Neodiprion lecontei: one gene and its partners. The protein of the gene in region 1 purifies or fractionates together with the protein of each later gene. This does not show direct contact. Links are inferred from orthologs where the notes say so. Each region holds a gene or a part of one and is shown on either strand. Other genes may lie near its edges. The genes, in order: valine--tRNA ligase, elongation factor 1-gamma and elongation factor 1-beta'.

What was found.
Region 2: the proteins of valine--tRNA ligase (region 1) and elongation factor 1-gamma purify together in Homo sapiens (affinity purification with mass spectrometry; 6 studies listed by BioGRID and IntAct, counting the BioPlex papers as one, with this or other methods). This does not show direct contact. The link is inferred for Neodiprion lecontei from reciprocal best matches to the Homo sapiens genes VARS1 and EEF1G.
Region 3: the proteins of valine--tRNA ligase (region 1) and elongation factor 1-beta' fractionate together in Homo sapiens (co-fractionation; 3 studies listed by BioGRID, with this or other methods). This does not show direct contact. The link is inferred for Neodiprion lecontei from reciprocal best matches to the Homo sapiens genes VARS1 and EEF1B2.

Annotation. Positions count from the first base shown.
Region 1 is NC_060261.1:2,225,873-2,229,630, reverse strand, and holds the start of valine--tRNA ligase, read right to left. Parts: upstream 2,729-3,758; 5' UTR 2,710-2,728; intron 2,460-2,709; exon of another isoform or gene 2,161-2,459; 5' UTR 2,090-2,160; coding exon 1,925-2,089; intron 1,768-1,924; coding exon 1,594-1,767; intron 1,498-1,593; coding exon 1,370-1,497; intron 1,274-1,369; coding exon 1,109-1,273; intron 1,035-1,108; coding exon 833-1,034; intron 760-832; coding exon 471-759; intron 406-470; coding exon 281-405; intron 192-280; coding exon 46-191; intron 1-45. UniProt on the Homo sapiens protein: Catalyzes the attachment of valine to tRNA(Val).
Region 2 is NC_060265.1:25,265,909-25,269,666, reverse strand, and holds the start of elongation factor 1-gamma, read left to right. Parts: upstream 1-1,119; 5' UTR 1,120-1,165; coding exon 1,166-1,177; intron 1,178-1,303; coding exon 1,304-1,453; intron 1,454-1,626; coding exon 1,627-1,690; intron 1,691-2,071; coding exon 2,072-2,214; intron 2,215-2,733; coding exon 2,734-3,036; intron 3,037-3,280; coding exon 3,281-3,568; intron 3,569-3,716; coding exon 3,717-3,758. Other genes in the region: actin-related protein 10, read left to right, coding at 1-173, 284-619. UniProt on the Homo sapiens protein: Probably plays a role in anchoring the complex to other cellular components.
Region 3 is NC_060260.1:30,773,457-30,776,753, reverse strand, and holds elongation factor 1-beta', read left to right. Parts: upstream 1-1,346; 5' UTR 1,347-1,423; coding exon 1,424-1,503; intron 1,504-1,993; coding exon 1,994-2,424; intron 2,425-2,498; coding exon 2,499-2,653; 3' UTR 2,654-2,704; downstream 2,705-3,297. Other genes in the region: NADH-ubiquinone oxidoreductase 75 kDa subunit, mitochondrial, read right to left, coding at 346-510. UniProt on the Homo sapiens protein: Catalytic subunit of the guanine nucleotide exchange factor (GEF) (eEF1B subcomplex) of the eukaryotic elongation factor 1 complex (eEF1).

The DNA of each region.
Region 1 (3,758 bases):
TAAAGAGTGAAGAAATGTCATCAAATGTAGACAGGATTTACCAACCACTGCGGTTTCATTAGTGGTTCAACGACGTCCTTGGATCGACTACAAATTGGTACAACCATTGCATTGTCTTTGGTCTCAATATATAATCCTCTTTCCGTCAATTGTTGCAGAATAGCCTTTCGCGCATCGAATCTTTTCATACCCTGAAATGATAGAAGCATGCACTAATCTCTCAACACTTCAACTATCATATAATTAATTTTAGTTTATTTGAATTGAGGATGATAAGTACCGTGAATTTGCCATAGTTTCCGATGATATTTCCCGCGTCATCAAAAATTGTTATAAATGGCAAGTCGTGCCTCTTTCCAACTTCATAATCATTAGGGTCATGCGCAGGTGTTATTTTCACAGCGCCTAATTAATGCAACGAGAATTAAGCCAAGATGTTCTCTTTCAAAGTAGCAAAGATGATAATTTACCTGTTCCAAATTCCATTTCCACAAAATCGTCAGTTATGATCGGTATCTTTCTATCGCAGAAAGGATGTTTCACGTATTTACCAATCAGGTGAGAATAACGAGCATCCTTGGGGTGTACTGCGACCGCAACATCTCCAAGCATTGTTTCAATACGAGTTGTAGCAACCACAACCTTTTCATTTGAGTCTTCTATTTCGTATGCAAATGATACGAGAACACCAAACTCAACTTTCTCTTTGTAGCCAGGAATAGCGAGAAAAGTTCTGCCAGGTAGCTCCATTTTGTCCACCTTGGAACGACAATGATCAGTTTATTTATTACCATTGAGATGTAATGAGACAGGAAATAGGAACAATTGTTACCTCAATATCGGAAATTGCACTTTTCAACGTACAAGACCAATTCACAAGACGATTACTCCTGTAAATATCCCCTGACTCATGCAGACGTACGAAAGCTTCGGTAACAGCGCGGCAGAGTTTTGGATCCATTGTGAAACAAGCGCGATCCCAATCAAAGGAGCTCCCGAGTTTACGAAGTTGCTCATAGATTCGATCTCCTTTTCTGCAGATTTGTAGAAAATTATAAAATTAACACCTAGATACATCGTACCAAAAACCAGGTCATGTTGCACTCACTCATTTTTCCACTCCCAAACTTTTTCCACAAATTTTTCCCTCCCGATGTCATGACGTGTCTTTTGTTCGTTCCTCCATAATTTCTTTTCAACTACCACTTGAGTCGCTATTCCAGCATGATCACAACCCGGATTCCAAAGTGTCGTTCGCCCCTTCATACGATTCCTGAAGTTCGAATGGTAAATCAACTATGTTACAAGGAGGAAGGAAAAATGATTTGAACAACTAAAAAATATATTATAATAGAAACTATCGACTTACCATCGGGTAATTACATCCTCGATCGCATTTGTCAGTGCATGTCCAAGATGTAAGGAACCAGTGACATTAGGTGGTGGAATAACCATGACAAATGTGCCTTTGGGATTTGTTTCGTTGATGCTTTTACGCTGGAAACGTGGTATACGATGAATGTGAATTGAATTCCTCTGCGTACGATGTCAGACACAACAAATTTATCACTGAAGGACTTTAACCAAACTTACTCCATATTCGGGTTTGAAGAAACCCTCGTTTCTCCACCAGGAATACCACGCTGCCTCGACAAAACGAGGGCTGTAGGCATCAGGCATCGGACAATTGACATCCTTCTTTTCCCCCTCTAGAGTGTTTATGGTATATAATACTGCTTGCTTGCTTTCCAGCTTTTTTTCAACCTTCTGCAAAACGTGTATACCTTAATGAATTTTTTTGTTTTCATGTAAAACCAAGGCGATCCAAGTATGTGAATGCGACAGGAAACCATATGGATTATGGAAACGTCATTGTTGCAGTTAACAATCAGGCAGAATTAAATAAAGTGAATGCGAAAATTACCTCAGGTTTTTCTTTGGGCTTAGTTGAAGCAGTGGTTTCTTTTTTATCTAGTTTTTGTTTGAACTTCTCCAATTTAGCCAACTTCTTAGCCTCTTTCTCAAGCTGTTTCGCTGTCTTTGGTTTCGCAGCCTCTCCCTCGGCTCCGTTTGCTGCCGTTTCAACCATTTTTATTGCAAATTATTCAAAACAAATAAATAATTCTCAGTTTACGGTATCGCGTGTTATTCGCTGCCTCGCTGAAAATCCCCGAAAATGTCAATATTGAAAACTTAACCAATTACTCCGCGTGGCCTGCACGCTGTCTAGCTGATGTGAGAACAGAAAGGATTGCAAAAGCTGCAGGCGCAATGTTATGTGATTCGCTGTTTCGACGGAATCCATTATCAAGCGAGTTTCAAAAATGGGACAATTATTTGATTCTTCGCTAGCTAGGCCGAGTCGCACTGTGTTGTGTAATGTAATTCTTTAGAAATGAGAGTTTATACAGTTCCGTCTGAATATAGAAAGAAGAAAATAATTATATCCATCAGTAGAGTAACAAGGTGCACTGAAAATAATGCATAGGTTTGAGGTTATTTCGAGAATAGCTTATAAGCTTGAAATATAATTTTTTCCAAATCCTTAAATAATTTTGCAGCGTCAAAGACAACTTAGATCGCACAAATTTATGAACCGAAGCTTTTTAATTTTGTACAGTACTTATCGGCCCGTCATTCAGACGAATCAATGTAAAGAACCTTTGAAATTCGCAACCAATTGTATGAACTGTACATTATGTGACCTGCCTGTATAATAGTGTTTTTCGATACTAGTGCGCGAAGGTGGCAATGCCCGCACAAGCATGAAGGCGCAGCACGAGCCTGGAGACGAGTTGAAGGGCGAGTGTGGCGCATTCACGCGAGATAGGCATTGCCAACTTTCGCACGTGTATCGAACTCTATTTTTTGCTACACCTGTAATGGAAAGTCCGACATACACGATTATTTTTACACGAAACCACGGCACGATGTCTGTTTAGTGACGATGCAGCGATGTCGAGCACGGCAAAGAGTGACAAACTATTCCATCGGTAGGGCTAGTGGAGCTGTTTGCGAAATACGCAACTGTGGATAAAAGCGCGACGGTCTTTTTCGCACACCGCTAGCAATGTGCGAAGGTTCATCTTATACCGCCGGCAATGTGCGAAGGTTTTTTTCTCACACCCCTAGTAATGCGCGAAAGTTTTTCCCGCACATGTGTATAAAAGACTACTTTCGGTGCTTGTAAATGGTGCATAAAAATGGACTTTCCACGCAGGTGTTGCAAAAAATTAATTGTAAGATTAGCAAGTGCATATGTGTTCCGTGCAATCGTTGCGGTATATCTCGAGATTCGGTATTCTGTTCAGTAAACTGTAGGTCCTCGAATGCAGTTTTCGGTTTAACTGGTGTACGTGTATTTGAATTGAAAGTTTAAAAGAAAGATTTTGGGAAAATATGAGGGATCTACGTTATGTGGAAGATCGTGCTCATTTGATTTTTCATGTTTTTTTCAATTTATTTTTTTTGAATTTGTGAAGAATCACGTCGTAGGACTTCGATTCTTATTTCTTTCCTAAAACTTATATTCAACTCAAAGATCACGATCCATAACACAACGATATATCAACCGGGAATCTTATTCTTCTAAATCAAAAGTTCATAATATTAAATTATAACTATTTTATGAGGTTTACAGATCCTGTACCTAGTGAAACTTGACTTCCAGGTCTAGAGGTCCTTGATCCGGTGAAATTTGACTTCCAGGACGACCGCTCCGTAGTTTCGGCTGTTCAAATCTTTTACCTAGTGAAACT
Region 2 (3,758 bases), on another chromosome or scaffold:
CTCTCAAATTGCAAACTGATGAACCACCAATTGCACCTCCATCAGTTAAATATCCTGGAGTCAAAACTATAACTGTACCCGGATCAGTACGTGAAAAAGCTTTCGAATTATTGTGGGAGCGAGACAATGACAATTTGAGTGTACCAACCATGATACTAGATGCTATAGTGAAGGTAACCATTATGTACTAATAATGTGAATATTAGATTGATTAATTTTATTAGATTTCTTTCCAAAAATGTGACCGCTTACCAATTATTCTGTATTTTATTGTTCATTGCAGTGCCCTGTAGACATGAGACATCCGCTTGCTGAAAATATTCTGCTGATTGGAGGAACGACAATGGCAAAAGGATTTTTGCCACGTTTGAAATCTGAACTTTTGACATTACTGAAGAGTAACTTATATTCTGAGAAATTAAAAATAAGTACAGTCAAGTTTCATAAGGCACCAAGCAAAGCTAATTACACAGCATGGCTTGGTGGTGCTATATTTGGTATTGCAGATTTGCCACTACGTTGTTTGACGAAAGAAAATTACCTCATGTCAAACAGAGTCCCAGATTGGGCAAGCTTAATTGATAATCAGAAATCAGACTCATTGATAAATAGTATGTAAACTATTATGTCTACCTAATTCGTAAAAAAATTAACCTGATACCTAATGTTCTTATAAAGTTCCAATTTTCAACAGTGAGGTAGTAACCCAATTAAAAATCGTTACTCAAAATTAATGTTTTTTTTTTTTTTCTTGCATAGAATTTACTTTATTCTATAATGTCACAAAACGGTTTAAAATGATATGTTGGAACGAGATGGTCTTATTTTTAGCAGTCACGAGGAACTTCAGATGCCTGTAATGTAAAATATATTTAATAATTTATAATTCGTATAATAAAGAAATTGTAAGAATAAAAAAAATCGATCACATTCATACTTTGTATCAAACTAATTTCATCTAATTTTGGTTCGACCTAGTTATATATGTTTTATTGCGGAGAAATGTGTACGTGCACCCACTGAGATTTGTGATATTTCCCGTCGCCGGGTGACAATTCGAGAAATAGTGAAAAAAAAGAACAGCTGTGAAGGAGAAAGGCGCGCAGGCGCTTCGTCATGAGCCGGCTTTCGATCTCTAGACTTCCTCTTCCTGTAGCTCGGCACAATGGCGTCCGGAGTAAGTGTTTTTACGCGAAATATTCTTCGTAAAACATCACCGTCTTGTTCGACGAATCGGTCACGTGAATGCGTGCAATATGACAATTAAACATCATACATTTATATGGCGTGTAAATTTTTTTAGACCCTGTACACGTACCCAGAGAACTTCAGGGCCTACAAGGCGCTGATCGCAGCCCAATATTCCGGTGCTAAGGTTAAAATTGCCGAAGATTTCATTTTCGGCGAAACCAATAAGAGCGATGCCTTCCTGAAAAAATTTCCTCTTGGAAAGGTGAGATTAATTTCTATTTTGGTTACATTTTTTTTATACGTCTATCACTGAAATATCATCAGTCATCGATGGATTCTGTCTTAAGTCTTATCGCCGTGGTATGCTGACACCGCTTTATGTCACGCATATTTTACTGCCGACGTGTTTTTAATAACGCCGAATGTTTGTTGAAGGTTCCAGCTTTCGAGACTGCTGATGGCAAATATATCACCGAAAGCAATGCAATTGCTTACTATGGTATGCATAATCAACATTTTTACCCTCAGCTAAAAATATTTTTTCTCTTTATTGTTTTCATTCGTTGTTGTTTTTTTTTTTATCTTTTTCCTTTTTAATTAATTTTTACAATTCAAGAATAACATATTATACGTTGTATGCATTCTACCTCTTAATTAATTTCAATACGTGATATTTATTTAAATATTTGTCTTCTGCTTCAATTTCACATCAGTATTGTGAGCTTGATGCTGAATTATACATATACTTTGGGTGACAGATAGGTATGAAATTTTCACGTTTTATGACATACAATTTCCGAAACAACTGGTTTTAATTTCTATCATTTATTGTTTTTGCCGATCTCTTTGCCAAAAGTTTGTGCTATTTTTGTGTTTCTAGTTGCCAATGAGCAGCTGAGAGGCAAAACTGACATTGAGAGAGCAGAAATTGTGCAATGGTTTGGATTTGCCGATTCGGAGATCCTTCCTGCCAGCTGTGCTTGGGTTTTCCCATTATTAGGCCTCATGCAATACAACAAACAGGTATGAAATTCTTGTCCACCGTAAAACAAAATTTTCTTATTTTACAAAGAATTCAATGTTCATGATATTTTATTACAGTTTAGATTTGGCTAAAGTTGTTCTGCAAAACTGCATAAACATGAGAAATCCCATCATGGCATTAGTTTGACATTTATCACATCGCCTTTGTTCAAAGACGAGCCTGAATGTTTTAAATTCAAGTTTCGTAACACGAGAAGGCAGATGAATCTATGCTGAATATTCAAACGCATCTGTCATTCTTTTATACATTTGCGTACCAATATTGCTGACATTGAAACAAATAATTAGCTACCTTACTATTGCGATGAATGTTTTCATATGTTCTTCAGCTTGCATAATACGTTTAACGTTTTACTTCTCTTATCCCCAAAAAAAAAAAAAAAAAAAAAAAATTAAATAATATCAAAACTATCCAGTGTTTTAAACATTGTACAGGTACTGGGTGTATCAGAGAACATATTAGCAAGGATTTTGCAATTTTCGTAATTAATCTTTCAGACTATAGAACATGCCAAGGACGATGTTAAGAAAGCTTTGACAGCTTTGAATTCACATCTATTAACAAGGACGTACTTGGTTGGGGAACGACTTACTTTGGCAGATATTAGTGTTGCTACAACTCTACTGCATTTATATCAGTATATTTTGGAACCGAGTTTACGCAAGCCGTATCAAAATGTGAACAGATGGTTCCAAACTGTTATATATCAGCCAGAGTCCATCAATGTAATCGGTGCTTTTAAACTGGCTGACAAAACTCTTGAATATGATCCCAAGAAGTTTGCTGACGTTCAAGAAAAAGTGAGCAAAAAATATAGATATACAGTATTGTTCATGTGAAATACCATTTATTTATAAAATACTACCTTATTCCAAAATATGTTGCATGGTACTATGAACTTGTGGCTTTAGTCAGCAGCTAGTAGTAATTTCGAAGTATTTTATCATCAATAATTAGCAGTCAAAGTATTAAATAACCGTTCATCTTCAGTTTGTCATATACCGATCTACTACTGAACAGCTTTCAAATATTATGAATTTTTAGTCATCTGCAAAGAAAGAAAAGAAGGAAAAACGAAAGGAACAGAAAAAGGAACCTAAAGAACCTCGCGAGGCAGATGTAGATTTAGCTGATGAAATAGCAGCTGCTGAACCCAAATCTAAGGATCCATTTGACACAATGCCTAAAGGTACTTTTGATATGGATAGTTTCAAGCGTTGTTACTCCAATGAAGAAGAGACTGTCTCCATTCCTTTCTTCTGGAAAGAATTTGATCCTGAACATTACAGCATCTGGTTTGGAGAATACAAATACCCTGAAGAGTTGACAAAGGTAAACTCGTTATACTGAATTCTCTGCCGGGATTTGAATTTCATTCAGTTTTTCATGTAGCAAGAATATTTTTGGAGATATTATGAATTACCTACGGTTAAAATATAATCATATTTAAGATTGTATTCGTTAATCTTACATTGTCCAGGTGTTCATGTCTTGCAATCTCATTGGTGGCATGTATCAACGA
Region 3 (3,297 bases), on another chromosome or scaffold:
TCAATTTTGTTGTAATCCTATAAATCGATATTTATCTTCCAACTGGGGACAAACATTTTCTACTTAATTTCTGCATTAAACAATTGCTTTTCATGGTCATAATACCTTCATTTTCTGCTCATTCAGCGCAATATCAAACTTTGGTCAGTATTTATGAATTCTATTTATTAATCAGCACTGTTATGTTCATAGAGATCAATGTAAACAGATGTCGGAGCAAATATTCTTTCTATGCTGTTCGAGTTATGGTTTAAAAGAGATCAACTAGCCAGAATCTAGAATTCTAAAATTCTTTTCAATGTAAAATTGGAGTTTATAAGAGGGGACATGTGAAATTTCGTGTACCTGGAGTACAGTAGTTCCTGGATCAACTAGCACAGGGATGTCGTCAATAAACACCTCGATCTGCTCAGGTGGGGCTTGCAGCTTACTGGCTGTGGTATGGAGTCCAGTGGCACCAAGCCTGCATCCCGACAGACCAGCCGCTCTAATCAGTGGAAGCCGCAACATTTTCTAAAAATCAATCAACAAATCATGCTGATTTTTGTTATATAATAAAACAGTCCTGTAACGCAAAGGTATTTGGCCGATGTGTTAACCTAACTCACGATGTTGTAACAGAACCGATAAAATGAATATACATGGTTGAAGTGACGTAACACTTTGCAAGAGAAACAATGGGGACCAAAAATTGCAAAATGATTTTGTTATAACTACCGATGATAATTGGCCTATAAATTATTGTTGAAAAATCAAACAATTACCGAAGTCAAGAAAAACGAAGTCCCTTACCTTCAGGTGTCAGGACTGTCGCCTTTCAGAGCAGACAGCTTGGTACAATCATATGGAGACTGGTCGAAAATTTGAGAAAAAAATTACAAGTACGAGAAATTGAGTGCAATTAAATTAGTTTACTCAAAAAAAAATCTATCAGCAGATGACGGGAGCTAAGCACGAAAAATAGGCGGAATTGCTTAAAATGGGTTTATGTATGCAATTGTATGTTAGAATTTACTTTGCGCAGTTGACGCAGAACAAAAAGGTAAAATCAGATGCGAAGTCCATTGGTTAGACGAATTTGTCCAATGTTGTTTTTTTCCGTAACGCGTTTTGTTCTACACACCAAGTGGTTCTATTGCAGGTGATTTCTAAATTTAAAAAAATATCTATATAAATTAATACGTCCTCTGCTTGAAATAGTCGCAAGAATTCTCAAGTAGCATCGACTTTTCCGGTTGTTCTTTAGCGATTCGCGATTCGATTGGCAGAAACTCAACCGGAAATGCATCACTCATAAAAAGTAAAGTATTGTCCGGACTAAATGAACCCTGCGTATCAGCAGCTCTCTCTTCCGGCGAGTAGACTAGAGAGGCAGACTGCCGCAACTTTCGTATAATATTTATTAATAAAATACACGCTCGCAATGGCCATTGGTGATCTTAAGACTGACAAGGGTTTGAAGGAGTTGAACCGTTTTCTTGCCGACCGCAGCTACATCGAAGGGCAAGTATATTATACGGGGTTTCTGTGCATATTTTAACTCACGTGTTCCACTTGTCGGCATGTAAAGTCAACCTCTGTCGGTCTCTTCCGTTTCAGTCACCAATCTTATTTATTATCCGTACAGACGAAGATTCACTGACATAAATTTTTTTTTGTTAATAATGTCTCCTCACATCGTCATGTTTCATTCGAATGTCAAGACTTTCTAGTCGTTCGCAACGATATTTTTGCATGCTAAAAGTTATTAAGATTGGCCTGTCAACTATCACCTTGCCCACCCGGCTTTGCAACTTCGGAACTCGTTCCATATTCCCCAATTCGAAGATTCCAAAAATAAATCTGAGCGAGCTATCTGATGCAACATATTTTTGTGATTCGCCAATTTGTGGTTACGTCTTATTTTCATTGATGAATAGTTTTATTTTATATTGTATACATACATTACAACAAATTATCGTTGGAGTTCTAATACGTTGGCACTCTTACGTAGATGGCAACCTTCGCAAGCGGATGTCGCAGTGTTTGAAGCTTTGGGGAACGCTGCATTGGGATCGAATCCCCATGTCCAGAGATGGTACACACACATCAAATCCTATGAACACAAGTCTCTTCCGGGCGTGAAAAAAGTCCCTTCCATCTTGGGTGGAACTGAGACTGCTCCACCGCCCAAGGCTGCCAAACCAGCTGACGACGACGATGATGTAGATTTGTTTGGATCCGACGAAGAGGAAGATGCGGAAGCTGCTAAAGTTAGAGAGGAAAGGCTCAAAGCGTATGCAGAAAAGAAGTCCAAAAAACCTACATTAATTGCCAAGTCCAGTATTGTGTTGGATGTCAAACCATGGGATGACGAAACAGACATGAAAGAAATGGAAAAGCATGTGAGGTCTATTTCTATGGACGGCCTGGTTTGGGGTGCTTGTAAGTATTCTCTGCTTGTTTTTGGTAATGATTTTCGAATGAATTGTTTTAATTGAGAATATTGGAATTTCTAGCAAAACTCGTGCCTGTGGGATATGGAATCAACAAGTTACAGATCATGTGTGTTGTAGAGGACGACAAAGTTTCCGTCGACTTATTAGTTGAAGAAATCCAAAACTTCGAAGACTTTGTACAGTCAGTTGACATTGCAGCCTTCAACAAGATTTAAATATCGTCTGCTCCGTCAATATTGAATTAATAAATATTAATTGTTTGTAAATACAAGCTGTTACTTTATACTCCTAGCGAAATTCCGTTACCGGTCTTAAATCTAGTGTGCTAATAGTTATTGTTTTTCCTACCTAAGTCGTATGTATAATTGTTGCGGATTAGATCAACTCATCTAATACGACTCTTCCTATAAATTACTATGAAAATTACTGCACTCAACTAGCAATAAATTAATATTTGGCCAGGTATATTATTCCGTCTGAAATGAAAATTTCAATCTTTTCTTTTTATTTAAATCTTGAAGATCCTGGTGAACCTGAGCTATCATTCATTCTAAGCTTTATAGTATTATACTGTTTGAAGGGTAAACAGCCAAATAACTTGTAATCTTTGATTGACCACACTCATTTACAGTCAGAAAGATAATTAATCGGTGTATAAGAACAAAGCTGGACGAGTATATAAGTGGCATCAGAAATAGCAGTTGCATATTGCTGGGCTAGTATTTTGCAGATTGATCTTTTGAATTATATGTTCTCACGTAATCTAATCTTGTCTTACAAACGACGGAGCTTCTCGTATGTTTGTACTTACAGACTTCAGACATACTCGCTGTTTTGTATTACCGTATTATTATGAATA